Cricetulus griseus: one gene and its partner. The protein of the gene in region 1 interacts with the protein of each later gene in a pairwise test. Links are inferred from orthologs where the notes say so. Each region holds a gene or a part of one and is shown on either strand. Other genes may lie near its edges. The genes, in order: Mal2 and Tpd52.

Region 1 (15,286 bases):
TACACCTCAAGCTTTCGAAAGGAAACTTAAAGGAAACTCGGTACTTTCAGAAGAAGTGATCTGATTGGCCTCATCTGTGGTGTGTGGGTGGCATGGCAACGGGGGCGGGGGGGGGGGAGAGGGAGTGACTGCTAGTTCTTGCTTTCTCAATTAGCCCCACCCACACAGCAACCCTAGGCTCATGGGCTTTGAATGACAGGCGACTAGTGCAATTCAGCTCTCATTGAAGAGAATGAGTGGACGGCACAAATCAGATCACTTTAGATAGTCATTTTCCCCACACCAAGAGGACCATTGATTGGCATCTACGAGGCTCTGGGTTTGACCCCCATTCTCACATAGACAAAAAGAATAGCTTGCTGCTGTTGGGGTCACTCTGGCTTTGACTTAAGTATCTCTTCCCTTATTCAATCAATTTCCTCTCCTTGAAAGTTACCTTTTCCTGTTAAGCGTCACAACCTGGCTTCAACATTAATAAGTGGGCTTCCCCGTGAGGCTGCCTGTGCTTGGAATACTGGCTTCCAATTCTGGGCTTCAGTAAGATTGGAACATTTCCCACATAAGTGATAACCGCTAGTGCCCCTGTTTAGTGGAGCGAGTCCTGCTCTTAGGGATGACCAGAGCACTGAAAGGGGTAAAATCTGAGGGAGCCGAACTGATAAAGTGTCCTGGCAACAACAAGTGTACATATTGCAAAGAGAGGTATTCAAACGGCCACGGTGCACCCACGTTCTCGTCTTGGATCTGAGTCCACAGTCTGACCTCATGTCTACCTCTGCCTGTTCCAGTTCCCTAGCTGTCTGAAAAGCATGATAATTACGTGTAAAATGTGCTTTCACTTCAAATTTCTGTAAGGAATTTAATCAGGGCTCAAACTCTAACAAAAGGCTCCTCTACAACCAGGTAACACCAAGCAGAAAGCCTTCTAGAAACATTCACCAGCTTTCCTCATGGTTGGCTGTCCTCATCTTGGCCCAACTTTATAGGTACCTGGCACACACAGGCTCCATTACGTTCTGAGGTGAAGTTATTCATTTGTTACCTGTTAGGCTTTGAATGTGCAATGTTCTGCACGCTATCTTGGGTCGCTGCAGAATCTTTTAGAGGTGGGGCTTAACTGGAAGAAGTGGGCCACTTCAGGTCATGTTTTGAGGGTCATAGCCTAGTCTCCTTTCTGGCTTGAGCTCTCTTATAACCTGGTTATAAGAGCAGTAGATGTGCACGGCCATGATGAACTGTCTCCTTGAAGCAAACTGTGAACCAGTGGTTTATGTAGACTAGAAGGGTATGGCTTGACTAGAGTCATCTTCCCATAAGAAAACCAAGGCAGTGGATATTCACCTACTGATCACACAACCCTGAAGCCTCACAGTTGGAGTTGAAGCATGCTTTCCCTAGAAACTTTTGGCTGGTAAAAATGCACAGCCCCACAAGAAAACATGGTCTTGGCAAGGACACAACATCCGTGATTCTGACTGTGTGGATTACAGACATCTCAACCTGTCTCCTATTTGGATGACTTCTCCTATGCTCCCAAAGAAGTCAGTTTATCAAATATCTCTTCTCTTTTCAAAAGATTTCCTGACAAGGTGCTTTTTATTTTGTTTTAAAGCACACACTCTGAATTTTTAACTAATAACTTTCTAACCTACTTGATACCTCCAGTTTTGTATACCATACTATTGTCTTAAGTAAACTGGCTAATATCTATGATGACTGATGTACATTAATGTTGGAAAGGAGAATATAGACGAGAACACCAATTTTAAGAGACAAATTACCAGACCTAAAACCCCTTAGAGAAAATGACTTAATTATTTAGAATTTTCTGTGTTGTCTTGTTATCAACACAACTGGCCATGCCATCTTTCTTCTGCAGGGAAACCAAACAACCAGTAAGCTTTGGGGTTGGGAAATAACAGTCTCCTAGCATGGCTTACACGAGTATGAATATAAAGTAGAAGGTAATACAATAACGGACATATTAGTTAACATGTATTGGGTCTTTATGGCCAAGTCTGCTGTAAGAATTTTATTTTTATCAACTTAATCCTCAGAGAGCCCAAGAGATATTATGAGGCCCCTTTTGCAGGGAGGTCAGTTAAGGGGCAGAGCTCTTGGTAACTGCCAAAGTCACACAGTTAACAAATGTTAGACATGGGACTTGGCTTGGCACTGGGTTCCAGAGCGTATGCTTTTATCCGTATAATTTTCTGCCTCTTTAAAGTTTATGGTTCATTCTAGACTGAGATTTCCATCAACTTTCCAAATGATTGCCTCAAGTTATGTCAAACTGACAAGATGGTAGCATAGGGCAGTTCCATGCAAAACATCTGAACCCGTCACCTACTTGTTAAGTGCTTCTGTTTTAATGGGTGCTGAATTCAACATTATGTTATAAAAATGGTTAATAAACCTAGAATTTATCACCTACATAAAGACAGAATATGTAATTAACTCCATGTTATATATGGCTTATATTCTGAAAGGTTTTAGTTTTGTTTTTTAAACTGGAAACAAACTTATGTTAAGAAATACAACCTTTGGCTGGTAGACACCTTGACAAAACAGACCATAAAATTCAAGTTCATTTACGATGTAGCTGTTCTGGGTGGTAGCAATATTAGAGATTCTGGGTCCCACCCACCTCAAGCTCCCCCTTCTTTTGGGAGGGATGCTCCTTTCCCAATTCCTTTTCTCTGCATTCCAGTCCACTGTCTCGTCGTCTACAAAGAACTAGGCTCACTTGTCCATGCAACTGCCTAGCATACACAAACTGCTGTATAGCTGACCTATGGTACCACATCTTCCAGAAAGACCTCTCTGGCTGGAAGCCATCCTCAGCGTTCAGGTGGTTAATGATGCATGTATCCGTTGAACCATTTACAACGTCTAGATTGAAATCACAGATTCGCATGCCTATCTCTCACTGGGCTGTGAAGTCAAAATTGGTGACATTCCCTTAAATGTTTCTGAACACTGGGAACCCAGGGGGCACTGTCTACCTAAGGTGTTCAGTTGTGTCCTGCTCCAGAGGAACAGAGACCAATCACTGGGCTTTAGAGTGCTGCAAGGGCAACTTCAGATCCCAGGAACACATGGTTGTCTGAAGTCCAGCCCATATCCTGATACATAATGGATGTCAAAAGCAGGTAAGGAGACTACCAAGTAGAAGCATGTCCTCCTCAATTTTTGGGTGACGATAGCAGCAATCACCACCTACTACAAGATCTTTGGATGATGGGGAGGAAGGTGATGGAAACATGGTCTATCTTGCAAACCAATTCTCAATCCTCTTTGTTCCCCATTTATCCATTTACTCTATTAGCACTGAAACAGCCACTATACCTTTTGATCAGGCTAGCCCCTAGGAACATGCCATTCTGCTCATTAACTGTCCTGACATTCACTGAGATTGCTCCTGGATTAACCCTGGTACAAGTTGCATGCTTTACACCACACTAATCTACAGGTTGAAGTAAACAAGATTTGCCTTGTTTGAATTAGGGAAAGAATGAATTCTGAAAAGCAACAGCAGAAGAGACATATGTAGGCTCGGTCTGTGAACACAGTCTGTTAATTACAAAATAAATTTAATTTTCTGCTTTGTATTTGATGTACATTTGTCAGCGCTACAAAATTATACCTTCACCTCATCTGACTCAAACTTCCATCTCAGTCTTCTAAATAGGTAATGCAAACCCTAAAATAGAAAGCAAACAGTATAGGAGAGAAACGAGGTCCTTGACTCTTTGCAGTTGTATTTATCAATTCCCTACCATGTAGATTCAAAACGCCTGCATGCCAATGTCCTGGCAAGAATTGGACAGGCCACTACCTCCTTCTTTCTTTTGACTGTCTTCCATCTGACATTTTTCATACAAAAGACTGCCAGACAGGGTTGCTTCTCGAAGACTCAACCCTCTTCTATAAAACTGGCTAATGAGGATTCAGGTCAAACTGTGTGACTGGAAAAAAATATTAGTATTTGCAGTGATATAAAGCATTTCTGCTCCCAAACTGCTTTTTCTGCACTAGCCAGTTGTTCTAGAATATTCTTACATACTGTCTTATAAGCCATAGCTTATAGCATAGCATTTGCTGACTTCTGTCTGTGTGTCATATAGATAACCAGTTTTTCATCATCTTAGGACCTTTTTAATTCAGCCGAATGGCAGCAGATACATACGTGGAGACCACAGCTCTCATAAGCAGGCACAGTTTTATACCACAGGATAAACCAAATCTGGTCCCCTTGACCTTTCCCTCTGTAGCAAGTTGGTTGGTTCAAAGTCTTTGCATTTTCAGTTCATATTTCCTGCAGGGCTGTGAGTCAGGGAACACAGAGTCTGAACAATGAGCTCTGGCTAATTTCCCCTTACAAAAAGGTAAAGGCTATTTTCCCGTGATTAGAGCTTGGCTTGTTGACTCCCTAGGCAGAGGGGGATAAAAATTATGTACAGGATAAAAACCCATCTAGAGAGGCAAACACATTGGTTGCTAGGCCTCCTGAAACAGTGTCTCTTTGTAATCAAAATCTATTTTCTGGCCAAGAAAAGAAAGCTCGATATACCAGAACATTGACATGTTAGTCATGCTACACTCAGACATCGGTTGAAAATAACTGGAAATACCTTCCAGAGTCCTCTGTGGGATTGCCTCCACGCATTCCCTCCCCATCAGCCTTTCAGCTCATCTCAGATACATCTTATACTTCAGACTCAGTATCACCTGTGAGAGCATCCAAGTTCACATGTTAGCTGACCCACTAAGCCTCGGGTCTTTCTCCTTTATTTTCTCAATCCTTTTGTTCCTTGGTTTTATTTCAGGGTCTCATCACAACTTATCTGAATTATATTAATAGTAAGACCCAATCTTCCTTCATTGATTTCCTGGCCTTTTAACTTTAATCTCCGTGCTTGACAAACAAATTTCATTAAAGATTTTGAAGACACAAGTCTGACCACATTTAAACCTGTCCTGAGGTGCTCCGTGGGGGGAACATATTCAAAGCCTGACCTATTTGCCAGCAAACCACAGCCTCAGTTTTGCCAGCAACATCTTCCTTTTCTTTTTCCCACCTTCTCATCAGTCACACCAAGAGGCTAACGATTGCTAGAAATTGCATGGCAGGGCCTGATATGTTTTTCTTTTTCGAAATCTCTGAGCTTTGTCCATGGCTTCCTTTCTTCCTGGATTTTGTCTCAGTCACCATTTTAGGCTAACCCTCAAATGTTACCTCCACCCCATCAAAGTGTCCTGTCCTAGCTCTCCAGGAGCCAAATGTTCCCTTTCTCATAGTATTTTCATAAGTCTACCTCAGCATTTTGTAAAACTGTAAATGCTTTTTGACCTTTATATCCTGCTACACTTTTATTTTTTTTTAAAAAAAAACAAGTTCTCTTTAACTATGTTTTGGCTGTCCTGGAACTCACTGCATCAACCAACCATCTTTGGGGTCTACCTACCTGGGCTGCCTGGCTGTGGAAACGTGCCTGGCCTACACAACATCTTTTAAGGGCAAACACTACATATTAGTTATCAGACTCCCAGGGCATAAAGAGAAGGTCCAATAAGCAGTGTGTTCTTTAATATGTTATTACAGTAAACAAAGGAAAGTAATTCTGGCACTAAAACACTATAGTTAGTTGGGAAAATGTGTAAAGAGATTTCTCACAAAGAGAAATCTAAACAAATAATTTGAATGTGTTTTCTTCAATACTGAAGCTGTGAGATTCACTGAATAAATCAATGTCACTGTTTTCCACATTTAATGGTATTGTGTTTGATCTTTCTTAACACATTTTATAAAATAATTTCATGGAGAACAGGACCCTAAATATCTTGTGTGGTCTGGGAGTAAATACACTCTGATATTATTACAGCTAGGCTGGACAGAAAATGCTTCAGTTGTATTTCACCTTTCATATGAAGACAGCTTTTCTTTCCCAAATAGAAGTAATCTTTTCTTTGGTATATCCTGTTAACCAGATTATAGGGGCTCTCAGGTGAGGAGACATGCAAAGAGTTTCGTACACAGTACGTAGTTAGAGGCACTGAGAGGACTGGAAAAATAGTAATTTTTTTGTTCACGAGACCAAGTGGCACTGTACTAGTGTGGACAACATTGAGTGTCTAACCTCAGCAATTCCACTGTTTGAGAAAGGGTCTGTTTTGTTGTTCACTGCCACCTAGGTAAGGCTCTCACACAGGAGCAACTTCAAGCATAAACTACCACAGAGGCCAGCTTTTCAAGTTCTTGGGATTTGAACACAGTTCCTCACAATTTTGCAACAAGTCCTTTGTCCTGGCCCCTGAAAATGACAAATTTTGGTGTTAATGTCTTCAGCATGAGCCAAAAGGCTTGGTTTCACAATAGCAACTTTGTATTAAATTTATACAAATACATGGTAAATATGCATCAAGGAAGGATAGCTTGGGCTAACACCAAAGGCCTGGAAAGTTGGAAGAGTCCTCGATTATGAAACGTGTTGTAAACTGCCTTAGTAGGTTCTAGTGGCAGGCAGTATTTACAGAGAGTTATGAGTGCTGTGCAGTACCAGAGACTGGAATTAAATTCCTTGAGCAAAGTTAGTATGAAGACTTAATTCCAAGACCATAGTCTCATTAGCTGAGTCTCCTGCTGATAGATAAAACCATCCTCACTGAGCACAGTTCGCATAGCTTTAGAGAGCAACATGACACCGAAGGAAGAAATCTTGGACATAAATGGATCTCAATGGAAGGTCAAAAATTAAAAAGGAGTCTAGAGATATCCAGAAACATCATCAGAAGCTAAAATAATTGGTTCCAGGCTGGAGTTCACTTTGTGTTTGAGACTGTGCCTAGAAAATGCTCACATTTAATTATTGGGAGAATAATTTCTGAAGAGGAGCCATCGGAGTCTGTGACTTAGAATCAAAAATCCTACGGCAACTGTGAAACTTAGGGATGAATGTGCTTCAGATGAATGTCTTAGCTCTTGCCTGTAAATGACTTGGAGTGGGCTTTGTAGGTAGAAGACCACCAAGGTCACCTGCAGGCTGCTTTCTTAATCTTATGATCCAGTGTCACTAAGCATTCCAGAAGGATGGAGGCCAAGAAGGAACTGCTGGTTTGGCTCAAAGTGGCCTCTCATTTCCCTGAGGTCACTGGTTTCATTGGTACATTTTGATCCTCCCCTTGGGGAGAGGTAACAGGAGGTTCGGGGAAGGAGGTAAAAGATACCGTTGACTTAAACTTGGAAGGATGTTTGGCCATAAAAATAAAACCGTGGGGCTAGAAAGGCAGCCTACTCAGTAAAGTGTTTGCATTTTAATCCTGAAGTCCCAACTTCAACCCCCAGAACATACTAAAGAAAAGCTGCAGAGGGTGATGTGTTCTCTCAGTGCTATACAGGCAGAGCCAAGCGGATCCCTGGCCAGCCAGCCTATTCTGCTTGGCAAGTTACAGGCCAGTAAGAGATCTTGCTCATCCTGATCCCTATGCCCAAAAGAGTCCAAAGGATAGTGAGATGACTCAGTGGGAACAGTGCCTAATGTCAAGTCTGAGAATCTGAATCTGACCCCTGGAACCCGCATGGTGGAAGTAGAGAACTGATTCCTGCAAGTTCTCCCCTGACCTCCGCACAAGCGTTGTGGAATGGGTGTGCCCTCTGTTCCCTCAATAAATAAGCAAAATATTAAAAAAGAAAAGGTGGACAGTTCCTGAGGAATGACACTCAATGTTGTTCTCTGGCCTCCATATACACTTAAACACACAGGCACGAGGATACACACACACACACACACACACACACACACACACACACACACACACACACACGTGCAAGTCCAAATGGCTTTGGGAAGAGACTCCTCTACTTTGATAAGAGTCTAACCCGTGTCAGGGTTAGGTAAGTTGCCAGAGGAGCGGCTAAGAAGACTAAGAAAGCAGGAAGTATGTGGGATACTTCCCCACACTTCCAGAATCTAATCCTCCTATCCATCCTAATGAACAAAAAAACGTTCTCCTTTCTGCAGATCCTGGTCCAAAGGCACTATCAGTCAGTTGCAGTTATTCTGTGTATTGGGATCTCCAGGGAACTTTAAAAAAAATTAGCTGACTCTGGGTGCTCCCTTAGAGACACTGGTTTAATTAGTCCAGGCTGGCAACAGTACTTTTCAAAGCTGCCAAGTTATTAAATACAGCCAGAGTTAAGAACTAACTACTGTGGTAGATAGGAAAAGGAGATATGGAGCTAGAAGGAGTTCAATAAGTCACCTTCAGAACTAGTGTTCCATAAATGTGCCACACCGTCAGGTGGGTCCTGAGTAGCATTTGTTTTGATAACATGTGGGCAACACTTCTATGCATATGTTTCCATATACACATGTGTGTATACATATATATATGTATATATATACATATATGCCATGTATATGTATACATACAAGTTAATTGTATAAATATATTTGAATAACTATTAGAAATGTATAACCAACATATCAAATTTGAGATGCAATGTATATTACTGCTGAGGATGAAGCTAAGTTCTAGCCAAAGGTTAGGCAGCAACTCTACCACGGAGGGCAGCTTTTCAAGCGTTCTTGGGATTTGAACACAGGTCCTCACAATTTTGCAACAAGTCCTTTACTCATTGATCCTTTGTCCTGGCCCCTGAAAATGATAAATTTTGGTGTTAATGTTTTCAGCCTGAGCTAAAAGGCTTGGTTTTGCAAGATCAACTTTGTATTAAACTTAGGCAAATATATGGTAAATATGTAACAGGGAAGGATAGCTTGGGCCAACACCGAGGGGCTGGCAAGTTAGGAGCTCAGTGGTAGACCACACCTATCTCAAGACTAATATATATAGCATCACTGTCTCATTCCTATGCCGCTGTACTGGGCTTAAACCCGAACCCACACCAGGGTCTTCTAGACTCACAGTCAGTCTGATCCCAGCTGCCACCGCCTCTGCTTTCCGATTCAAATCGGAGCTAAACCTAAGGTGGCTTGGCTACCAAAGCATAGTGGGGCAGAAAACCAAGGCTCCCACGGTTTTCAGCTCCACAGCACAAAAGGGAAGCCAGAGTGACCCAGATCCAGGTTATGCAAACTCACAGGAGGATGAGTGACATGAAAACCCTAAAGGGAGCAAACAAAACCCGCCTGCAGGAAAGGCCCTGCCTTGCTAACATTTCTTTCTATTTGACATTCTCCGGGCATGATGCAACCCCAGTTGCCCAATTTATATTTACACATCCCCCTTGTCCACAAGGAGCTTCGAAAGCTCCCAACTGTACAGCATTCCTTGCCCAAGTTCAAGTGTCTAGTTCCACAAGGTTGCAGGGCGGGCCTGTGACTTCAACTTTCCTAGGTACAAGCGAGGTGCTCCGAGGAGGTTTGGAATTCTCAGGTAAACTGAAAATGGACAAGGGGCAAAGGCGAGAGTTGGAGCTGACAGCCCCACGTCTGTCTTCCACTTTTCCCCACGGTTGGTTCTCACGGCCTCTTGATTACACACTGCCAACGGCACCTACAATCTCACCGTCCTCCCTGCCCCGTTCTTCCCCAATCCAAAGGGCACTGACGATGGCAAGGGTGAGTGGGGTGAAAACCATACCCAGGCTTCAGCCTCCTCCTGCTCCTCCTTTTCCCTGGCGCCTTCCGCCCCGGCTTTCCACATCCTACCAGCTTCCTGGCCACCCAGTCATCGGTACACCTTTGCACCACCCAACAAAATGGCAGGTTAGCGACAGGAGGGGCCGAGGGCGCCAGTTCCTCCACCAGGCAAGCGTAGACCCTGTCCAAAGCCCAGTCCCCGCGACTCCTCCAAGCGCTAACACCCCTCTCCTGCCCAAGTCCCTAATCTTGGGCCCTTTGCCTGCTCGCACTCTAGGGGACATTTCCATTCCAGGCCGGCGAGCAGGTGGCCGCGTAACAGGTGCCAAGCAAAAAGGCCCGGACACAGAGTGGAGGGGACCCCGAGACCGTGGGCAGGAAAAGGCCACTTCCAGGAGAAGGTGATCGCCGGGGGGACCAGACCGGGCTGGGGGCAAGGATGCTGCCTTGCCTGTCCCTGCTCCCCGGGGCTCGATCGTCGCCTACGCTGCTACCCTACTCACAATCTCCAGGCAGACGAAAGCTCCCGAGTAGGTCCGCAGGATGTCGGGGCCCACGGGCAGGGTGACCCGGGGCGCCGGGAAGGACACAGCGGGGTTCGGGGGCGGCGGGACTGCCGCTCCGCCGGCCGACATGCTGCCGCTGCTACGTCTCCGCGCACAGCCGCCACCGCCTCCCGCGTCCGCCTCCGCCTCCCTCCCGGGCTTGCCGCCGCCGCCGCGCCGCCGCGCGCCGCCGCCGCCGATCCGGTCCGCGGGGTCCGGGCGTGCCGCTCGCCGAGAGGGCGTGGCCAAGGGCCCTCTACACAGAGCCCCGCCCCGTCACGTGGGCGCAGGTGAGCACGTCCCCGCCCCGGCGCCCGCAGGGGTCACCCGTACAGGTGCGCGGTGCGCTCCGGCTACAGGGCCACCAGCTCGCCCAGGCTCTCGCGATCACCTGCTGCCCCTGCGCTAAATGTCCCGCGGGTCCCACCTCTCCATCCCACCCCACTCTCACCCGGGCCTCACCCTCTGTCCCCAGTTGGGCAGGAAGACAGAGACTGTGACTCAGAAAGCAAACGCCAGTCGCCAGGCACACCTGGAAAGCGGGATGCCTGTTTTAAAGGGGACTGTAATGGAATTTTCAAAGATGTCACCAGGGTCGTGTGGCACTTGGGAGTCGATGGCTGGCCGTAGGTCCCCGGAGGGCTGCTTTGAGGTTTCCTACTCTGTTCCGGGAAATCCCTATGAGGATATCCGCCAGTGAGGGACAGAAAAGTTCAGTGCCCAGGAAGCGCTCTGTAAACTGTAGCTTTTAGGACGGCAGCTACTTTTCCAATCCCGAGATCTGTATCATTGCTCTGTCTACAAACGATGTCAGCCGCATCACGTTTCCACACAGACCCTTTTCATTTAGCCCTCACACATGTACTCTTTGACACTGTCTTTTAACACTCAGCAGACCAAAAAAAAAAAAAAAAAAAAAAAAAAAAGGATGCTATGTATGAGTCCCTTGCCTCAGTTTACCTCGTGCGTTCCCATTGTAGTCTTGGTTTCAGTGTTAATGTCTGTAAGTGGGACAAAGGAAGGGGCATTTCTCAAAGGTCATCTGAAGATAAGTTAAATGACTCACATCAGCACACAAGTAGATCCAGTGGAAAAAACAATAGCTAACCCTGGCATGGCAGCACAAGCCTGGAATAGCAGCGTTTCATAGGATGAGGCCAGAGGATTGCCCTGAATTTGAAACCAGAAGGCTGCAAAACCGGTAATAGGACATCTAGGGATACCTAGGGAGACCCAGTCAAGCAACAAGGACACACACACACACACACACACACACACACACACACACACACACACACACACACACACACACTATCAGACAGTCTCCAAACTGAGTCTGCGAGTTGCTCCCTGCCTGGGCTGTCAGCAGGTTTTACCCTACGTCTTTATTGTTTTAATGAGCGAAACTCATAGGTGTGGTGGTGGTGGCACCAGAGGAAAAGCCACAAAGCAGGGTGTGGATGAAATCCTTTATACGTACCTCCTGTCACCTAGGGAGGTGATACCTGTTACTCACCACTTCCTGGCATTTTGTGTGTGCTGTTTGTCTCATAGGAAACCTCGTGCTTTCTGCATCGATTTGTTTGACCGATGAACTTTTCTGTAGCCAGACCCTGATTGGCAAGGACTTTTCATTTCCTCCTGGGAAGCACTTAGAAGATCTTCAAATGTGAGGCCACATCAGAGAATACCTTATGGAGATACTCAGTAACGGCATACAAGGTATCCAAAATATCGTGTTGAGTGAACTTGAAATGACCTTGAAATTTCCAGACCCATTCATGATGTAAAGCCTCAAATGTGTTTACTTTAAAGTTGTTAACAAAGAGAAAGCTTGCAACTACGTGTTTCCCAGCCCCTACCTTGCCATGCTGTTCCCTTTCCAGTATGGTGAGCAGAATGAAGGCGGCTGCTGTGCACCTCTCTTCTATACCATATCTACTCAAAAATGAATGCTTTTCTAGAATAGGCTCCCTTCTCATGGTCATTATCTATACCAGTTTCCTCTTCATCATGACAATACTTCCAGCATCCTTTTCCCTCACTCCCAGTTCTTTCTCCATAAAATTGACCCGAGTTTCTTTTTTTTAATTCTTAAATTACTACTCATATTTACATATCCATCCCCCCATCCATCCATGTTCCCCACCAACCCCCCAACCCATCCCCCAACTCCTCCCCAGGGATAGCGAGGCCCTCTACCAGGGTCTTTCAAAGTCTGTCATATTATTTGGGGGAGGGCCTAGGCCCTCCTTGCTGTATCTGGGCTGCAATAGTATCCCTCCATAGGGAATGGGCTCCCAAAGTCCATTTGTGCTCTAGGGCTAAAGACTGGTTCCACTGTTAGAGAACCCATAAACTGTCTTGGACTCCTAGCTAGCACCCACATTCAGAGGGCTTGGTCGAGCCAATGCTGTTTCCACAGCATTATAACTAGGGTTTCCACGTTCTCACTAGGTCAGCTCAACTGTTTCTGCAGCACTGTCTTGGATTCTTTGCTCATCCCTCCTCCCTCTGCACAATTGGATTCCAGGGGAATGGTTCAGTGCTTAGCTCTGGGTGCCTGTATCTGTTTCGAACAGCTACTGGATGAAGGCTCTAGGAATGGTAACCAAGGTAGACACCAATCTCATGATAGGGGAAGGGCATCAGAGGCATCCTCTCCACCACTGCCTAGATTCTTAGTTGGGGTCATCAAAGTGGATCCCCTAACATTTCCCCTGTGCCAGACCTCTCTCCATACCTGTACTGTCTCCCCCTATCAAGGCATCTCCTTTCTAGCCCTCCTCTATTCCACCCCTGTCTCAGTCCTCTTGTTCTTCTCCCCCCTCCCCTTCTTCCCTTCCCACCCCCAATTTCTTAATAGTATCATCTTTTCATCCATTTCTCTGACCCCAGCAATCCTACTTTGAAGATATTCTCTGAACTCCCCTTATTGGACTGTTAAACCTTCTTTCTTTCTTCCTCTCCCTCTTTCTTTCTTTCTTCCTCTCCCTCTTTCTTTCTTTCCTTCCTTCCTTCCTTTTCTTTCTTTCTTGCTATCATTTGCTGTATGTTCTGGGCATTGAATCTGCGCTCTTGCCCATGCTAGGCAGGTAACATTTCCACTGAATTAGAGCCACTAGCCAGCACTCTTTTAATATTATGTGGCTGAGTCTTGCTTAAATTGCTCAATCTGGCCTCAAACCATATACTCAGGCACCCATACAGCTGGAATTAAGCGGGTGCTCTTCTCCGCTCCATGAAGTGTTCACCCAGGTGATACTTGTGCCAGTTCAGCTCCCCAAATCTCTGCTGTCTTTGTAAAGAGCAATTATATCTGGGGCCATTTTCCCACTGGGAATTCCTGAACACCACATTTTGTGAAAGACCCTCCAATTCATCTCTTTCTCATTACCAGTTCCTAGGTTTTCCGCTGTTTATCCTGCCTTTATTTTCTGATTGGCCCATTCTGGCATTTCTGGCTTCTCTATTCCCCCTGTGCCTTTAGGAGGGGGATTTAGTAGCACTTGCATCAGTTCCACACACTGCTCTTTACCTTGCCCCTTTCTTCTCTTCCAGCATCATTGTTCCATGTGTTCAGCCTGTGTTCAGTTCAGCATCTCCATACACCCTCTCTGATGTTACCATTACACTTCCCAGGGTTACTAAAAGGGCATTGGAACCATTGACTACTTGTGGTAGCCAGACTTTGTTGGTCCTTATGAATTCCTCTACCCTACCCCCTTTCTCTCGGTTATTATTCCACAGCTTCCATCTTCTGTCTTGGTCTAGTCTTTGTGCCTAGAACCTGTAAACAGTTTTGAGTGGATGAAAGCAAATCAAGACCATTCAAATCTTCCTGACTCATTTTGCAAGGAGTTTTAGAACTTCTAGAATGTTGGGAACGCTGCTGTCTATCCTGTTACCCAGGACAAACAACTGGGTATTTCTCTTCGTAGCTCCTTCTCATGCCATCGCTTTAATCAGCTACCAGATCTGGGTTTTACTCCCTATGACACACCAGAGTCTCCTTGTTTTCACTGCTTCTTTCTACCTCACAGCACACCATTGCTACTCACGGTGAACACTGCCATCAACATGATTTCTAAACACAAAACTGACCACAGTCAATACTCTACATATAACTGCTCTAGAACCGCACGCTTTTCTCTGGGTCAATTGCAAATGCAGCAGTTTCTGTGACAAGGTTTCTGATGGGTTTTGCCAGCTCCACCGACCCATTTGCAATTGTAGTAACTGCCCGGTCCCAAGCTTCTCACACATCCTTCCTTCTAATAGAACATCCTTTATTTTATATTTACTTCTACACTTTAAAAACTCGTTCCTAGAAGATCCCTTTGGGTCATAGGGACAGCATGTTAGCATCTAGGCACACTTTGGCCCCGCCCCTTGGTGCGCATGGCAAACAGTACCCTCACTCTGTATCCAGCCACAAAAGTTCCCTTTAAGAGACAAGTTCTACCTACTTTCTCTCTCTCTCCCTCTTTCTCTGAAGAGGGAGGCAGGTCTCTCTCTCTCTCTCTCTCTCTCTCTCTCTCTCTCTCTCTCTCTCTCTATCTCTTGTCTCTCCCCCCTTCCTTTTCTTTCCTTCTCTCTTCCCTCCCCCCAAAATATCTTCCCACTTAAGCTCTGTCTGCCTGGAGTGTTTGTCTCTCACCACAATGGGGCTTCCCCCAATGTCCCCCCTAAGTTGCATATCATAACACAGCACTTTCTGGCAGCTTTCCCCTGTCCAAGTTTTCATAGGACTTGTTGAAAGGTGATTGGCTCTACCTCTTTAAGAGACAGACCCTGCCCCCTGACAAGTCAGGGCATGTGTAAGAAAACGTGCTATGTCATCACCACGTCACCCATGAGGACTCTGCTCTGGGCATGCGTGGAACCTCGCGCATGCGCAGTCTTTCCTATAAAGCTCCAACTAACTCTGCTTTCATTCTCTTCTCCTGCTTCTCTTCTTTTCTACTCTGTTTCTTCTCTTCTCTGTATGGTGACCGACCATGGCGGTCAGCCGTTACCCTGTTCCTCTTCTCTAAGTCTCCCCATTCTGCCAGGCCTTATAATAAACTTTTGTCAATATGTCTCATGTCTCAGCATTTCTCTTTTCTTCTTTTTAAACAAAAGAATAACACTTGT
Region 2 (14,807 bases), on another chromosome or scaffold:
AAAGAAAGTTGATGTGTTCCTAAAGCACTCGCTCATGTCTTGTCTGGCCTGAACCACTTTCATTGAGGAACACTGTAAACCTGCTCTGTGTATTCTCCCACACAATGTCTGTGTTGTGCCTTGTTTAAATGAGGGATCTGTAAAAAGATCTGACATGGTCTAAGCCACTGATGTCCAGTGTCCAGATTACCTAGCCTTGCAATTGCATGGTCTCCAGCTTAACGACAATGCACACAAATCTGTGTACAATGACACCATGTGGTCTCTCGGCTTTATCCTCTCTCTCGTGATGGCTCAGCTGTCATCTGTGCCTTGAGGTGGCTGTGGCCCACTATGTAGCTTCCAGGTTCTCTCCTGCCTGTGCTACTTGAGCATTCTGCTGGAGAGACCTTCTAGATCACACACACACACACACACACACACACACACACACACACACACACTGCTATGCCCTCACTTAATAAGGCACACCAGGGGTGCTACTTGAGCATTCTGCTGGAGAGACCTTCTAGATCACACACACACACACACACACACACACACACACACACACACACACACACACACACACACACACACACTATGCCCTCACTTAATAAGGCATACCAGGGATCCCCTGGTTGGTATTTAAGATGGAAGGATGATCTGCTTTGTTAGAAAATTAACTATCAGTAACTGAGGGGGAAGTGATCCCCAATGTCTGGTCACCTCTATTCAATCCTGCTGATGCTGACTTTTCCAGCTAGAGACTTGAAAGGCTGTGAAGAAAGAATTAGCCTGGTTCTCTGTCCTGCCCTGTTCGTTGGTATTTCTCTAAGGAAAGCTGTATGTGAGCAGACCAGAGTGTCAAATCAGAAAGACCCTCAAGGGTTAGTCTTGTCTCTGACTCTGGGTGAATTATGTAATCTCGGAGGACCTCAGTTTTCTGGTAGAAATCACTCTTCTCATTGGATGTTGATAATTTTGTTTGTTTGTTTGCTTCTATGGAACATGTTCCTAATGGGAAGAAACATTCTGGTTAAAAAATCAGATTTCTTGTTAAAGCATGGTGAGGGAACTTTACTAAGTACTTTTGGGGTAGGTATGGTGACTGCTGTTTTGGATTGTTGTAGAGACCGGGGTCAACCCCTAATAAGGCATTGGCAAGTGTCAAGGAAGAGTGGAGCAATCAGGTGCATTGATGGGACCAAGCATGGGAGCCTTGATGAAGGCTTTAGTCCAGGAAGATGAGACATTACCTGGGGTGGGGCATTGAGGGGCCTGATTAGGTATGGGGACATCAGATATTAGGAATGGGGACTCTGGTTAAACTGACTTAGGAGGTTTGTTTGCTTAAACTGGATTTCTACAAACAAGAACATAGGTGATCTGAGAGAACATTTAGAGGCCTGACTAACATTTGGTCAAGCAGAGAATTTCTGTCAAGACAAATTTCCCCTCATGGTGGCTGGCATAAAAGACTTCAGTAGGCATTAGTCATATTCTGCACCTTTGTTGTTTAAAATAGCTTTCCATTGGATTCTAGGAAAGAGCATTAAAATTGAAGAACAAGTGTTTATTGGATTGTTTGTAGTAGTCTCTTTTCTCATCTTTTATGATTTGAATGTGAAAATGATATATTTTCGCCCCTAAGCTATACTTTCTCTCCATAGTAAATACTATTTACAAACATATAGGAAACAAGATAATACCTAGAAATTTAATTAAAGCAAAATGAATGTTCAGGGATGGAGAAATAAGGTGGCATTGCTTTTGACCTTGTCTCTGGTCTCTGGGTTGTTCCAGTTTCATAGTCTTATGTATTGCCACGGCACGTGGTCCAGGTCTTGCCTCTGTTTCCAGGTCTGTGACTTGGAGCACCTCCTTTGTCTGTTTTCAAAAACCTCAACTGTGTCACCTGAACGATGTGTGATTCTGGTGGCTGCTCAGCTTCTGTAAGCCTCTCTCATCATCTGTAAGTGGTGATAGCAATCTCCATGTTACAGATGTCTGTGTGTAAATGACTGTTTCTGGACCTCTTAGCTCAGATTTGGATGTAAATTGAAGCCCATGTGGAGTGTCTGTGGTTAGTAATTTTCCAAGAGATGTGCGATGACTTCGTAGTTTGCCTGTGATTCGAGCATCTCCCACTTGGTTCTTCTGTCATAACTTTATGGCTTTTTTTTTACTTTTTTTTATTAAAAACATATAGAAAAGATTTATTTCTAAAACATACCAGCATTAAGATTTGATCTAATAATGAAAATAAGCTTAAGCCATCAACCAAATATGTAATAAACAACTGACTGTTGAATTACTGCATTACTGCATCTGCATCATGAAAATAAGCTGGTTGATTTTATAATGAGGTTAGTAAATGAAAAAAAAACAAATGTGTTCAGTGTGCAACATAATAATTAGATATAAAAGCAGTCAGTCAGTGCCTCTGTGACATTAATGTAAATCATTAGTTACACAAAATCACATTAAAATATTCTTACTTCGTATAAACACCTGTTCTATTAAGTTCCCATATATTTCCTTATTGTGTGTACTTAAGGTTTTTTTTTATTTTTTAGCTTATATATATATGTATATATTTATATTTACATAAAAAGAGCAATAATGGCAATATGTTATGCATCAATAGCAGCAACAGCTTTTCCAGGTTCTGTAGTCCTTTGAACAAAATTGTAGAGACATCCAGCACACTCCATTTTTATAAAAAACAAAAAGCAAACAAAAACAAACAAACAAACAAACAAACAAACAACAACAAAAAAGTAAAAAACAAAATCCCAGAAGACAGCACAGTTTTGTTACTCTTGTGGTACTTGGCACCATTTTTTTTTTTTAAATTAGTTTCTCAGTCATCATCTGGAAGGAAACCATTCTGAGCAACATCATTAAAAACAGCTCTGATAAAGCATGGTCACTACCGTGTATCATAAAGCAGGTCTACATATGAGTGAGTACATACCATTTTTGTCTTTTTGTGATTGGGTTACCTCGCTCAGAATGGTTTCTTTGTGTTCCATCCATTTTCCTGCAAATTTCAAGATTCCATTGTTTTTTTCTGCTGAGTAGTACTCCATTGTGTAAATGTACCACATTTTCTGTATCCATTCTTCGGTTGAGGGGCATCTAGGCTGCTTCCAGTTTCTGACTATTACAAATAATGCTGCTATGAACATGGTTGAACATATGTCCTTGTTATATGAATGTGCTTCTTTTGGGTATATGCCTAGGAGTAGAATTGCTGGATCTTGTGGTAGACTCAGTAACTTTATGTTTTTATTCCCAGATGAGTATTTTAAAAACCTGCACCTTTAAATTTTAATGCCCATGATTTTCTGCCCCCTGCAGGTTAATGTGAGAAAAGCAGACTGAATTATTGCTGGCTGACTTTGCTAGATACTTAATTGATAACCAGGTCATCTCAATGTTCCTGAAGCCAAGTATGGGCATTGCCAAAGTCTTTTTTTTCTGATATGTTTATTTTTGTAGATAACCTAATAAAATATTTGAATATCAGAGCTGGAGAGATGGCTCAGCGGTTAAGAGCACCGGCTGCGCTTCCAGGGATCCTTAGTTCATTTCCCAGCAACCACATGGCAGTTCACAACCCTCTATAATGGGATCTGATGTCCTCTTCTGGCATGGAGGCATACATGTAAATGAGCACTCATACATAAATAAATAAAGTTAAAATATTTGAATATCCTTTATGTGGTGGTTTGAAAGAAAATAGCCCCCAAAGAGAGTAGTACTATTAGGAGGCGTAACCTTGTTGGAGGAAGTATGTCACTGTGGGGGTGGGCTTTGAGGTCTCTTTTGCTCAAGCATCCTTCCATGTGATATAATCAGTCAACTTCCTGTTGCCTTGTGGTCAAGATGTAGCCAGTACCACATTATCTGATGATAATGGACTGAACCTCTGAAACTGTAAGCAAGCCTCCTCAATCAAATGTTTTCTTTATGAAAGTTGCCATGGTCGTGTTGTCTCTTCACAGCAATAAAAACCCTAAGATACCTTATCTGAAATTTTTGGGCTACATGTACTTAATATTTTTTATTTTTGTCATTGTTTGGATTAGGGAATATGTGTGTAGACTTTACTGATTGAAAATGCCTGTTTTGAAAATCCAAAACTGAAAAATTGTAATGTTTTTCATATTAAATATTCCCACCCTGTGCCAGCATCCTCTTAGGTTCTTTTTTGGAATTGAAGATTGCCCCATACATTAGCAGTTTGATACTGTGTTTATCTCCTTGCCTATTTAGACTTGCAAAATAATGTTTATTTAAAAGCATGGAAGAGCTTTTTCTCCAGGAGACAAAGTTTAGTACTTGAATTCTGCACATACTCTTTGAGTCCTGTGTTATCAATAACTGTCCTGAGCGAAACGTTATAGACTATAGACTACTATTTTAGTTTTATGTTGCACTGGCTGATCGTGGCTCACATGCTTGGTCTCTATCCTCAGTCCCTTGCTCCTTTTGTCATACAGGAGCACACACAGGTTCTGTTCCCAACAATACATGGCATCGTAGCGGCCTGCTTCACAGTGATTGGGCTGGTGTTGGAGTGTGGGTGCCATTACAAAATACAGGAGCTGCCCCCATGGTGGGATGCTGACTTGAAGTATGGAAAGATTTAAAACTGGAGATCAGATGTCTACTATAGAAATAGTACTTGGACAATCCTTCCAAGATGTCTTAGAGAGGACTCATCTCGGATACTATCCTGTTGCTGCGAAGAGACATCATGACCAAGGCAACTCATAAAAGAAAATGTTTAATTGGGGGTTTCCTTACAGTTTCAGAGGCTTAGTCCATAACCACTGTGTCCAGAAGCAGACAGGCATGTTGCTAGAGCAGTATCTGAGAGCTTTACATCCTGATCCACAGGCAGCAGGCAGAAAAACACAGATACTGGGCCTGGTGTGGGCTTTTGAAACCTGAAAGCTCACCCCAGTGACACACTTCAACTTCCTTCAACAAGGCCACACTTCCTAATCTTTTCCAAACAGTTCCAACCAATGGGGGACCAAACATTCAGGCCTATGAGCCTATGGGGGGTGGGCATCTTTATTCAAACTACCACATTCCACTTCCTGCCCCCATGGAAGCCATAACACAATGTAAAATGCATTTAGTCCAACTTCAAAAGTCCCCGTAGTCTATCACAGTCTCAACACTGTTTAAAAGTTCAAAGTTCAGTCTCTTCTAAGGACTGAAGGCAAACTCTCAACTCTAACCCCCATAAAATCAAAATCAAAAAGCAGATCAAATACTTTGAACATACAATGGGACTGAATATACATTACCGTTCCAAAAGAGGGAAAGGGGACCGTAGTGAGGAAACACTGGACCAAAGCAAGATCCAAACCCAGCAGGACGATCTAAGTCACACAACGCTATGCCTGATGTTGGAAGGTTATTAGATGGCTCTCCCCTTCCAGCTTTGTTGACTACAGCACACTTCTTGATTTCGGGCTGGCTCCACACCCTGTACACAGCTCTCCTTGGCAAGTATCCCGCATTTCTGATATCGCCAATATCTTGGCGTATCCAAGGCAATCCAGGCTTCACCTGCAAGCTTTACCCAGTGGTCTTTTCGGACCTCATGCTGGGACTCCCCTGCCACATACCTTGCTCTTTGGCTTTTCTTAAGGTACCAAAGCTATTGCTCAGTGAGCTTTTCCACCCCTTGAGTGTATCAAGGGCAATCTCTGCTTCCAGAAACCTACTTGAATTCTGCTTGTCGGTCCAAAGTGTAGTTTCTGAACAGGCTTATTTGTATTACTTTTGCTCCTTTAATAGTTCTTTGTGTGGGCCACTGTTTTGGTACTGCCATGCTAATGATTATTATAATTGTCCACCCCCCCCCCAAGACAGGGTTTCTCTGTGGCTTTGGAGGCTGTCCTGGAACTAGCTCTTCAAGACCAGGCTGGTCTCGAACTCACAGAGATTTGACCGCCTCTGCCTCCCGAAGGCTGGGATTAAAGGCAAGCTCCACCAATGCCCGGCTTATAACCGGCTTATAATTGTTAATTACCTTTAAAAGTTAGTATACAGCAAACCCCGTGTCAAGTGCCTCTGTAATGTGCATGTAGCTACACATGGATCTCATTGCTGCATGAGCTTTTCTTACATGTATTGTGGTACTGACTACGTGTTCAGCAGTGTGCATTTTTTCTTCCTGCCTGTCCATGTGCCCTTCATCTGCTGGCTGGCGTCATGCTAGGAGGGGCACCGGGACAGGATGAGGGGAATGGCATTTACTTACAGGAAGAGGAGGAAGCCTTCCCCAGTCCTCAGTGCATCAGAATCTGTGACACTGGGAATGGGTGGGTATACTGTGGCTGGGGTGAGTCAGGTGTACAGTTTAAGAGAGAGGGCACCAGAAAACTCACTAATCAAATCATCTGTCAATACAACGTTTTGAAAAGGTCAGAATCAATGCAAATACAACCTATGATAACAGTACCAAAAGTTAAACAAGGCAAGTTCAGTGGCTGAATTACCCATGCAGAGCAACTCTGGAACCTTTCTAGTCTCAAGTTTACTGTTTTGGGCTGGGTGTCGTGGTGGTGTACACCTTAATCCCAGCACTCTGGAGGCAGAGGCAAGTGGGTCTTTGTGAGTTTGAGACCAATCTGGTTTGCATAGTGAGCTCCAGGACAGCCAGAGCTATATATTGAGACCTTGCCTCAAAAAAAATTTTTTTTTAATTCCCTTTGATTTTACAAATTAGATTGAATTATGTATTAGTTTGTCTTCTTGTGAGAAAATGCCTGAGAAAAGCAGCTTGAGAAGAGAAGGGCTTATTTTAGCTCACTAGTGGAGAGGATGCACCTTGGACTTGGTGTTAGGAGCTTGAGGTGACGGGTCATACTGTATCCATAGTCGGGAAGTCAGGAAGCAGGACAGGGCTCTAGGACCCCAGGGCCTGCCCTGCTGACACACCTCCTCTCTTGAGGCCCCATCTCCTAAGGGTTCCACAACCTTTCAAAGACAGAGCCACCAGGTAGGGCCTATGGCTGGAATGTAAAAGCAGGCTTATGTGAGCTATTTGACATTCAAACCTTAATCAAATACAACGGCAGTTTTGAGTGGCTTCTTTGATTTTCTCCTCTTATGTTTTCTCTGAGCTGGCCTTTAGATGGGGCATGGGCAGGGAAAGGTGAGCACTGAAGATGGTTGCCTCTCTCTAGGAATTTGGTCTTCTTAACAGGGGGCTCTGTTTCAGGGAAGGAACATAGTGGGTTTGGAAGTCTCTGTGTTGTTGTTGGTTAGGTCTCCACATAGAAACAGAGCTGTTTGTCCTGGAGACTGTAGAACCCAGGCTGGCTTGGAACTCCCAGCCCCCTTGTCTCAGCCTCCTGAGGTCTGGGATCGAAGGCAGTATACTGCCCTACCCCATGACACTGGGTGCTTAAAGCTCATGTCAGTGAGTACAGGGTTAGAAAAAGCTGCACCGAGTTTCCTGCCTTGGCTACCACCTGGAAGGAGGAAGAATCGACTTTCATTAGGGCATTTGATTTGCTCCTGTATGGATTATCTGCAAAGGGAGCTAAGGAACACACAGTCTCTCCTGTGGGCTGGTGTGCAGCGCTTAAAATCCTTCATCTACCTTCTGCTGACTTATCTGTGCTGCATTTTAAAGATAGGTTTTTGTTTTGTTGAGACAAGATCTCCTGTTGCCCAGGCTGGGCTTAAACTTGGTCTTAGCTGAAGATGGCCTTGACTAGCGACTGTCCTGTTTCCTCCTAAGTGCTGGGATTGTAGGCATGCTTGTGTTTAGTATAAAGGTAGATGATGGTGGGACCCCATTCTTCTGCTCTGTCTTAATTGTTTGGAGACGGAGATGGAGAGTAGGAGATGGAAGCTGAGAGATGGGCACATTTCTCAGTACATGTTTTGGCATTCTAATTCGGTGGTTTTTATTGGCAATCCCAGAGTTCTCTTTCGTTTTTTCCCAAGATAGCCATATCACGTCAACATACAGAAAGAAAGTATATGGCTGTAACCTCAAAGACTTTGTTCTAGTTGGGACAGTGGAGCAGCTCTAGGAGGATTTAGCTTAGCTTTCACATTTGACATGATGTTTTTTTGTTTTTTTTTTTTTTTCCTTAAGCCCCAGGTCTGCTGAAGACAGAGCCAGTGGCCGAGGAAGGAGAGGATGCTGCCGCCATGCTCAGCACCCCGGGAAACCTGTCAGAGGAGGAGCAAAATGAGCTGAGACAGGAACTTGCCAAGGTGAGGGCCATTCTTCCTTGACCTTTGCCTTCAGTGTTCAGCCTTGTGGTTTCCAAAGCCACTGGTAATGGTGTACGGTAAAAGGCTCAAGGAGCTTGTGCAGCCTAGAGTCTCCACAGGGCAGAGGAGAGAGTGACTCTAGTTGTTCTTCAGGTGGATCTGGGAGTCAGATGCAGTGGGAAGTGGGGGAGAGGTACAACGTCAGACCCTAGAAGCAAGTGCATACCACTCATCCTTGCTGTTGCATTGTGGATATAGGCCAGCTTCCTCCCTCTCCTTTTTCTTTGCTTCAGACTTCAGCCCAACTTCCAGACAGAGTCCCAGCTCCCTCTTTCTATAGCTTCCTTTTATAAAATTCTGTTGTTGCTGTTTTTTGTTTTGTTTTGTTTCGTTATGACAGGGTTTCTCTGTGCAGCTCTGGCTGTACTGGAACTTGCTCTGTAGACTAGGCTGACCTCAGACTCAGAGATCTGCCTGCCTCTGCCTCCTGCCCCCTGCCTCCTGCCTCCTGCCTCCTGAGTCCTGGGATTTAAGGTGTGTGCCACCACTGCCTGGCCTATAAAGTTCTTAAAATGGTCTGTTTCAGTGTACAGTTCTCGACATTTAGCACATTTTGTGACTTGTAACTGTCAACACTTTCAAGTTCTGAAGTTATTTTCCCCTGTTCCAAGGAGCCCCGCCCCTTGTATTCTCTGAGGAGCCACTTAGCCTCCACCTCTCAGCTGTTTTTTTTTCCCCCCTCTGTGGATTTAACTGTTTTCTGGATATTTCACATATAACATGTGACTTCAGTACAGTGGATGTTAGAATGACTTGAGTATTACTCCTGTAAAAGGTTGAAGCCCCAAAGCTTCTGAGATAACTGAGCAGGATAACTGACAACATAGAGAATGGCTCTGCCAGAGAAAGCACGGTGTACCCTGCTTACTAAACAATGTTGTTTTTAATACACAGATAAAAGTTAATAAAAAAAATTAAGTGTAGCCATGCATGATCGTGCACACCTTTAATACTACTAGCACTTGAGAGATAGAAGCAGGTGGATCTCTGCAGAATTTTTTTCTTTGTTTGTTTGTTTGTTTGTTTTGAGACAGGATTTCTCCATGTAGCCCTGGCTGTCCCGGAACTCCTTATGTAGACCAGGCTAGCCTGGAACTCAGAGATCCACCTGCCTTTGCCTCCCAAGTGCTAGGATTAAAGACATGTGCCACCACCACCTGGCAAGATCTCTGTGAATTTGAGGCCAACCTGGTCTATTTAGAGAGTGCCAGCCAGCCGACAATGCATAGTGAGATTCTTGTCTTGAACGATCAAACAAACATACCACCTTCCTGAAAGTAATGATAGCATCTGAGCATGGCTTGCGTTGATGTTCAATAACTACAGTGCAGCTTTTGCTGTATTTTCTCCTCAACCCTGTTCTTCATAGGTGGAAGAAGAAATCCAGACTCTGTCTCAAGTGTTGGCAGCAAAAGAGAAACATCTCGCAGAGATTAAGCGGAAACTTGGGATCAATTCACTTCAGGAATTCAAGCAGAACATCGCCAAGGGGTGGCAAGATGTGACAGCAACCTCTGCGTATGTTCCCTTGATTGTACACATTTCATGACAATGTGAAGGATGCTTTTGCACCTTTTCTTTGGGGAGAAGGAGAGGAGGGGGTGAGGATGTTTCCACCACTTTTCTTTGAACCACACAGCCTTTTCTGAACAGTCTAAAGAATAGAGAGCAAAACACTCATGTACAGGTTAAGGGAATCATATTCAAGTTTCAAAACTGTTGGGTGGTATTCCTCCCTTCCTGTTTTTTTTTTTTTTGTCTTCCCAAGGTTTTAATTCCTCACAATCAGATAATATTTAATATTAAATGGAAAATGCTAGACATAAGACTCATGACTTTTTAAATTGCATGGCATTCTGTGTAACATGACTAACTTTTGTATAGCTTTGAACCTGACTCATCCTCTTTTCCATTGTATCCCTTGTATATATCACCCAATCCTTATTTATTTAGTGGCTATTTAAGAGAAGATGAGTTATAGATAGGGTTCATTGTAAGCTACAATTATTGGCATCCTCTAGTGACCTTAGAACATACTGCCATCAGTTTAGGGAGGGGACTACTGGATATTGGATTTTCCAGTATGCACACAGTGATATTTAGTTCTCAGAATAACCGAGTAGATTAGGTGATAAGATAACCCCCAATAAGGAATAGGCTCAGACAAGTGACATTTGGAGGTTACAAATCACTCAAAGTGGTGGAATCAGGATTTGAACTCAGGTTTGTCCATCTGTATAGCTGGTCATTTTTTACTTTGCTCTAATAGCCTAAGATTTTTCCCATCATAGTCTCTCATGGATGCTAATATCAGAGGCCAATTCCTTAGAATTCTGGTTTTGTGATCACACAGATTATGATACAGCATTATTACCATGCAGGTGCAGCTTTTATTCCTGGTGTGGGAGGAATAGGCTTCTAGCAGTAGATCTACCTTTTGTGTTTGATTTTAGCTTGTGAGTTACCAAGATTAGGAGCCACTGACAACAGTTGCCGTGAGGCCATCCATTCCTCACTTGACAGTGTCTGAGCGGACCCTGACTGTGTCTTCCTCCCTCTCCCTCCCTGTGCTTGGAATTGAACCTGTGGCCTTGCTCATCTGGGCAATGCTCTACCACTGATCTACATCACTAGACCAATACACAACTCTTTTGTTTGATTTTTTTTTCCCATATTAGTTGCCAGAGGAAAACATGTAAGGAACTAATCTTTGACTATACTAACCATAAACCATGTTTGTTACTAGTATTTGATCTTGATGTTGTAAGAAAAAAAAATACCCACCATTAATTTCTGCAGTGCGGAAGCTTGACCCTTTTGGTAGATTCCATGTTTTCATTTGGTTGATAGTTACAAAGAGGAGTATCATTTCTATTTTTATGTTACAGCAAATGTAATGTCTTAGTTAGGGCTTCTATTGCAGGGAAGAGACACCGTGACCATGGCAACTCTTGCAAAGGAAAACATTTAATTGGATGTCTTACAGTTTCAGAGGTTCAGTCCATTATTTCATGGCCCTCTGCAGGCAGACATGGTGCTGGAGAAGGAGCTGAGAGTTCTACATCTGGCAGGCAACAAGAAGTGAACTGAGACACGGGGTGTGGCTTGAGTATATAAGACCTCAAAGCCTGCCTCCACAGTGACACACTTCCTCCAACAAGACCACAACTACTCCAACAAAGCCACACCTCCTAGTGGTGCCCCCCTTTGGGGGGCTATTTTCATTCAAACCACCACACACACTATAATAATTTTGTGTATTGGTATCTTTTATATGAAAGTCAGACAAGTTCTTATGTGGTAGCTCCAGCAAACTAAAAAAACCTTTTTTGTATGCCTATTAAATTTATTTGGATTCTACAATTTACATGAACTATACAGGGGAACTTCTTTCAAATAGATGAAAATATCTCAAGATAATTTGGCTCTATCCTGCAATATTTTTTGTCTATAATCACAAAGTTCAGTATTTTTTGCCTTGTAGAATCTTGGTGTGTATGTGTGTCTAAGTGTGGGGGTTAAAGCAACTTCACTGTTGTTTCTCAGGTGCCAGCCATTTTTTTAAAAAATTTAAATTTTATTATTTTTTATTTTTTTGAGGCAGGGTCTCTCACTATTCTGGAACTCATTAAGAAGGCTAGGTCAGCTGGCCAGACCCTTTTGTCTACTTCTTCAGCACTTGGACTACACACCAGAACTACCATACTACTTTTCTTACATGGGTTTGTGGCCCAGACTCAGATCCTTAGAAGGCAAGCACTTTGTTGACTGAGTTACCTGCCCAGGGCCTGGCCTTGTAGACTTTGAATACATGTGCATCTTTCTTTTGGGAGGGGACACGACTTTGTGAGCCCCACCCTAACTACTTGGTTCATTTCTTTCTAAGCCCCTGTCCAGGGCACTGTAGAAGATCATGGTGGAGGGATTATTGCTGCCCTGATGGAAAACATTAGAAGTTCTTAAAACTGTTCTAAACTTGAGTTTTTCAACAGGTGATGACACTGCACTAGAATTTATAGAAAAGCCTAGCTGACATTTCCCCCCTTGTTTATCTGTAGATATAAGAAGACGTCTGAAACCTTATCTCAGGCTGGACAGAAGGCTTCAGCTGCATTTTTATCCGTTGGTTCAGTCATCACCAAAAAGCTGGAAGATGTAAAGTATGTATACATTTTTCCCTTGCTCACCCAGCAGTTGGCAAACTGAACTGGTGCTGTGATCATTGTTGGTTCCTGCCTGTGGGTCAGGGTGCTGTCATGTTCCCTTCTGTTAGAGTAAGGAAGTGTTCTCCTTCACACCAAAGCTTGGAGTTGTTGCCTGAATTCTTCTAGGCCTAGTATTCTAACCTCCAAATGAGCATCTTGTTGAGTCCCTTTAAGGGCTGTTGAAAAATTCTGGTTGCAAACTTTTACATCTCAGCCTTTCTCAGTCCTGCAGTGTAAGCATGTCTCTGGTATTTACAAATGTGTGATGGTGGGCAGAGCCTGGTGTCTTTCTAGGGATGAGTACAAGTGAATTGCACGCTTGCTTGGCCTGAGGGCTTCCCTGTTTGTGTGTGACATTTGTATGTCATAATGTGGTTCCAAGGTACTTATGTGTGCACTGGTTTGTACTAACCCAAGAGCTTTACATATATTCACAATCAGGCCCAGGTCTTGACTTCTGACTTTCTTTTTTAAAACTGTGCATTTGTATTTGAGATTTAGTTTTCAGATTTTTTTCTTGTCATTTTGCAAAGATCACTTCATGGTGCATTTGTGCTTCCATCTACCACCACGATTAGAATAGTGCTGAACATGGACAACATGGCTTACATGGGCTGTACTTCTGTTGGTGTGCACACTTTCTGTTGGTCTTTTTCTAAGCCTAGATTGCATGACTTTGTGTGTTTTATGTGTGGGAACGATAGGTTTTACAACCAGAATTTTGTTAGTTGGATTGATCTGGTCAATCAATATTTTATGCTGTGTATTAGAATCCATTTCCTCATCCATCATATTTGAGAGCACTGTTGTTCTAAGCATAATATCTTAAGGATAGATTTCTGAACCCTCCGACAACCGTGTCTGGAGCACTTGCCAGATGCTCTCACTCCTTTGGATGCTGACTGACTCTTTAGTGTTTTAGGGGCTATGGAACACACTCGACTTTATACAAGTGGGTTATGTGACTGTGATGGATTGGTCAGAACTTCCTGTCTGTTTTAATGCTTCCTCTGGCTTCTTACAGACTGCAAGCCTTTTCACATTCCTTTAGGTAAGGAGAGCTGAACGCCTGCTGCTGGCTAGCAGCTGTGTGAGATGTGTGTTTGAGATGAGATGTTGATGCCTTGCAGATGTGTGTGTGTCCACCGTGTGGTTCTCCTGCAGTCACAGTAGCTTCTGCTTGAGTGCATTTCTAATTCCAATGGAGGTTTCCTCGTATACCATGTGTAATGGGCCAATTGAAAGAAGAATTTGACACTGTGGCACAAGGGATATGGAAATGATTTTTGAAGTTTCAATTATTATTATTTTTACCATGGCATACAGAATTCCTCCCTATTAATGTCTGACTTTGTTTTTTTATGCTTTTGTTTCTTTGGTGCTTTTGTAAGGATGTTGGAATTCTTCTTCATGTGGGTCCTATTATGTAATTATAATGGACTGCATATGTACTGTCTCGTGGTAGTAACTCTTCCATCTTACAAAGGTTTCAGTATGCAGACATCAGATCTTACCCACAATGCACTTTTCAGTATTTGTCTTATTAGCCTATAGACTTTACTGTTTCATTATTTCTCCACTAGCTGTTCTTTAAGCATACAGGGTAGTTCAGTGGAAAGGGGGTGTTAGAAAGTACACGTTGTGCCCTGTAGGAGTCCCTGTGATGACCCTGATTATATGATTATGTATGTAGGTTTTGGAGGAGCTAAGTGGGAGATCCTTAGACAGTAAGCAGAAAGGGTACCTCGGTCTCCATCTCTCTTCTGACTGGTGTACATCCTTGCCTTAAGGGACCCTTGATATGACTTAGCTGCTACTGTTTTTTTCTCCCATCCTGTCTCCCTTTTCTGGTTATTAATTTTTAAAGTCTGATTACAAAGTGATGAGTTTCATTATAACATTTGAATATATATGTCATTATATATTCATGTTATTCATTATGGCCCCCCTCCCCCACTGCCGCCATCTTCTCCTCTCACTGGTCTCTTTCTCCTCACCAGCGGTCCTCTGTTCTTTTGTGTTACACGAATTCTGTTATCCCCTGGTGTTTCTTTCTTTCCTCCCTCTCTTAAGATCTCCTCTTTCTCATGCTCTCCTTTCTACTCCCTCCCCTTCTTTTGGATAAGCCAATGGATACATGAAGCTCCAGTTTTGGTGACACCTAGTTCTGGAAATCAGGGTAAATCATAGAGATGCATAAACTCTCATTGTTGAACTATTTAAGGTTAAGATTATGATTTTTTTTAAAGATTTTATTTATTTATTATGTATACAACATTCTGCTTCCATGCATATCTG

The links.
Region 2: the proteins of Mal2 (region 1) and Tpd52 interact in a two-hybrid assay, tested with the Homo sapiens proteins (2 studies listed by BioGRID and IntAct). The link is inferred for Cricetulus griseus from reciprocal best matches to the Homo sapiens genes MAL2 and TPD52.

Annotation. Positions count from the first base shown.
Region 1 is NC_048603.1:790,339-805,624, forward strand, and holds the start of Mal2 (protein MAL2), read right to left. Parts: upstream 10,241-15,286; coding exon 10,109-10,240; intron 1-10,108. UniProt on the Homo sapiens protein: Member of the machinery of polarized transport. Required for the indirect transcytotic route at the step of the egress of the transcytosing cargo from perinuclear endosomes in order for it to travel to the apical surface via a raft-dependent pathway.
Region 2 is NC_048595.1:138,883,273-138,898,079, forward strand, and holds part of Tpd52 (tumor protein D52), read left to right. Parts: intron 1-8,122; coding exon 8,123-8,244; intron 8,245-9,673; coding exon 9,674-9,822; intron 9,823-12,362; coding exon 12,363-12,464; intron 12,465-14,807.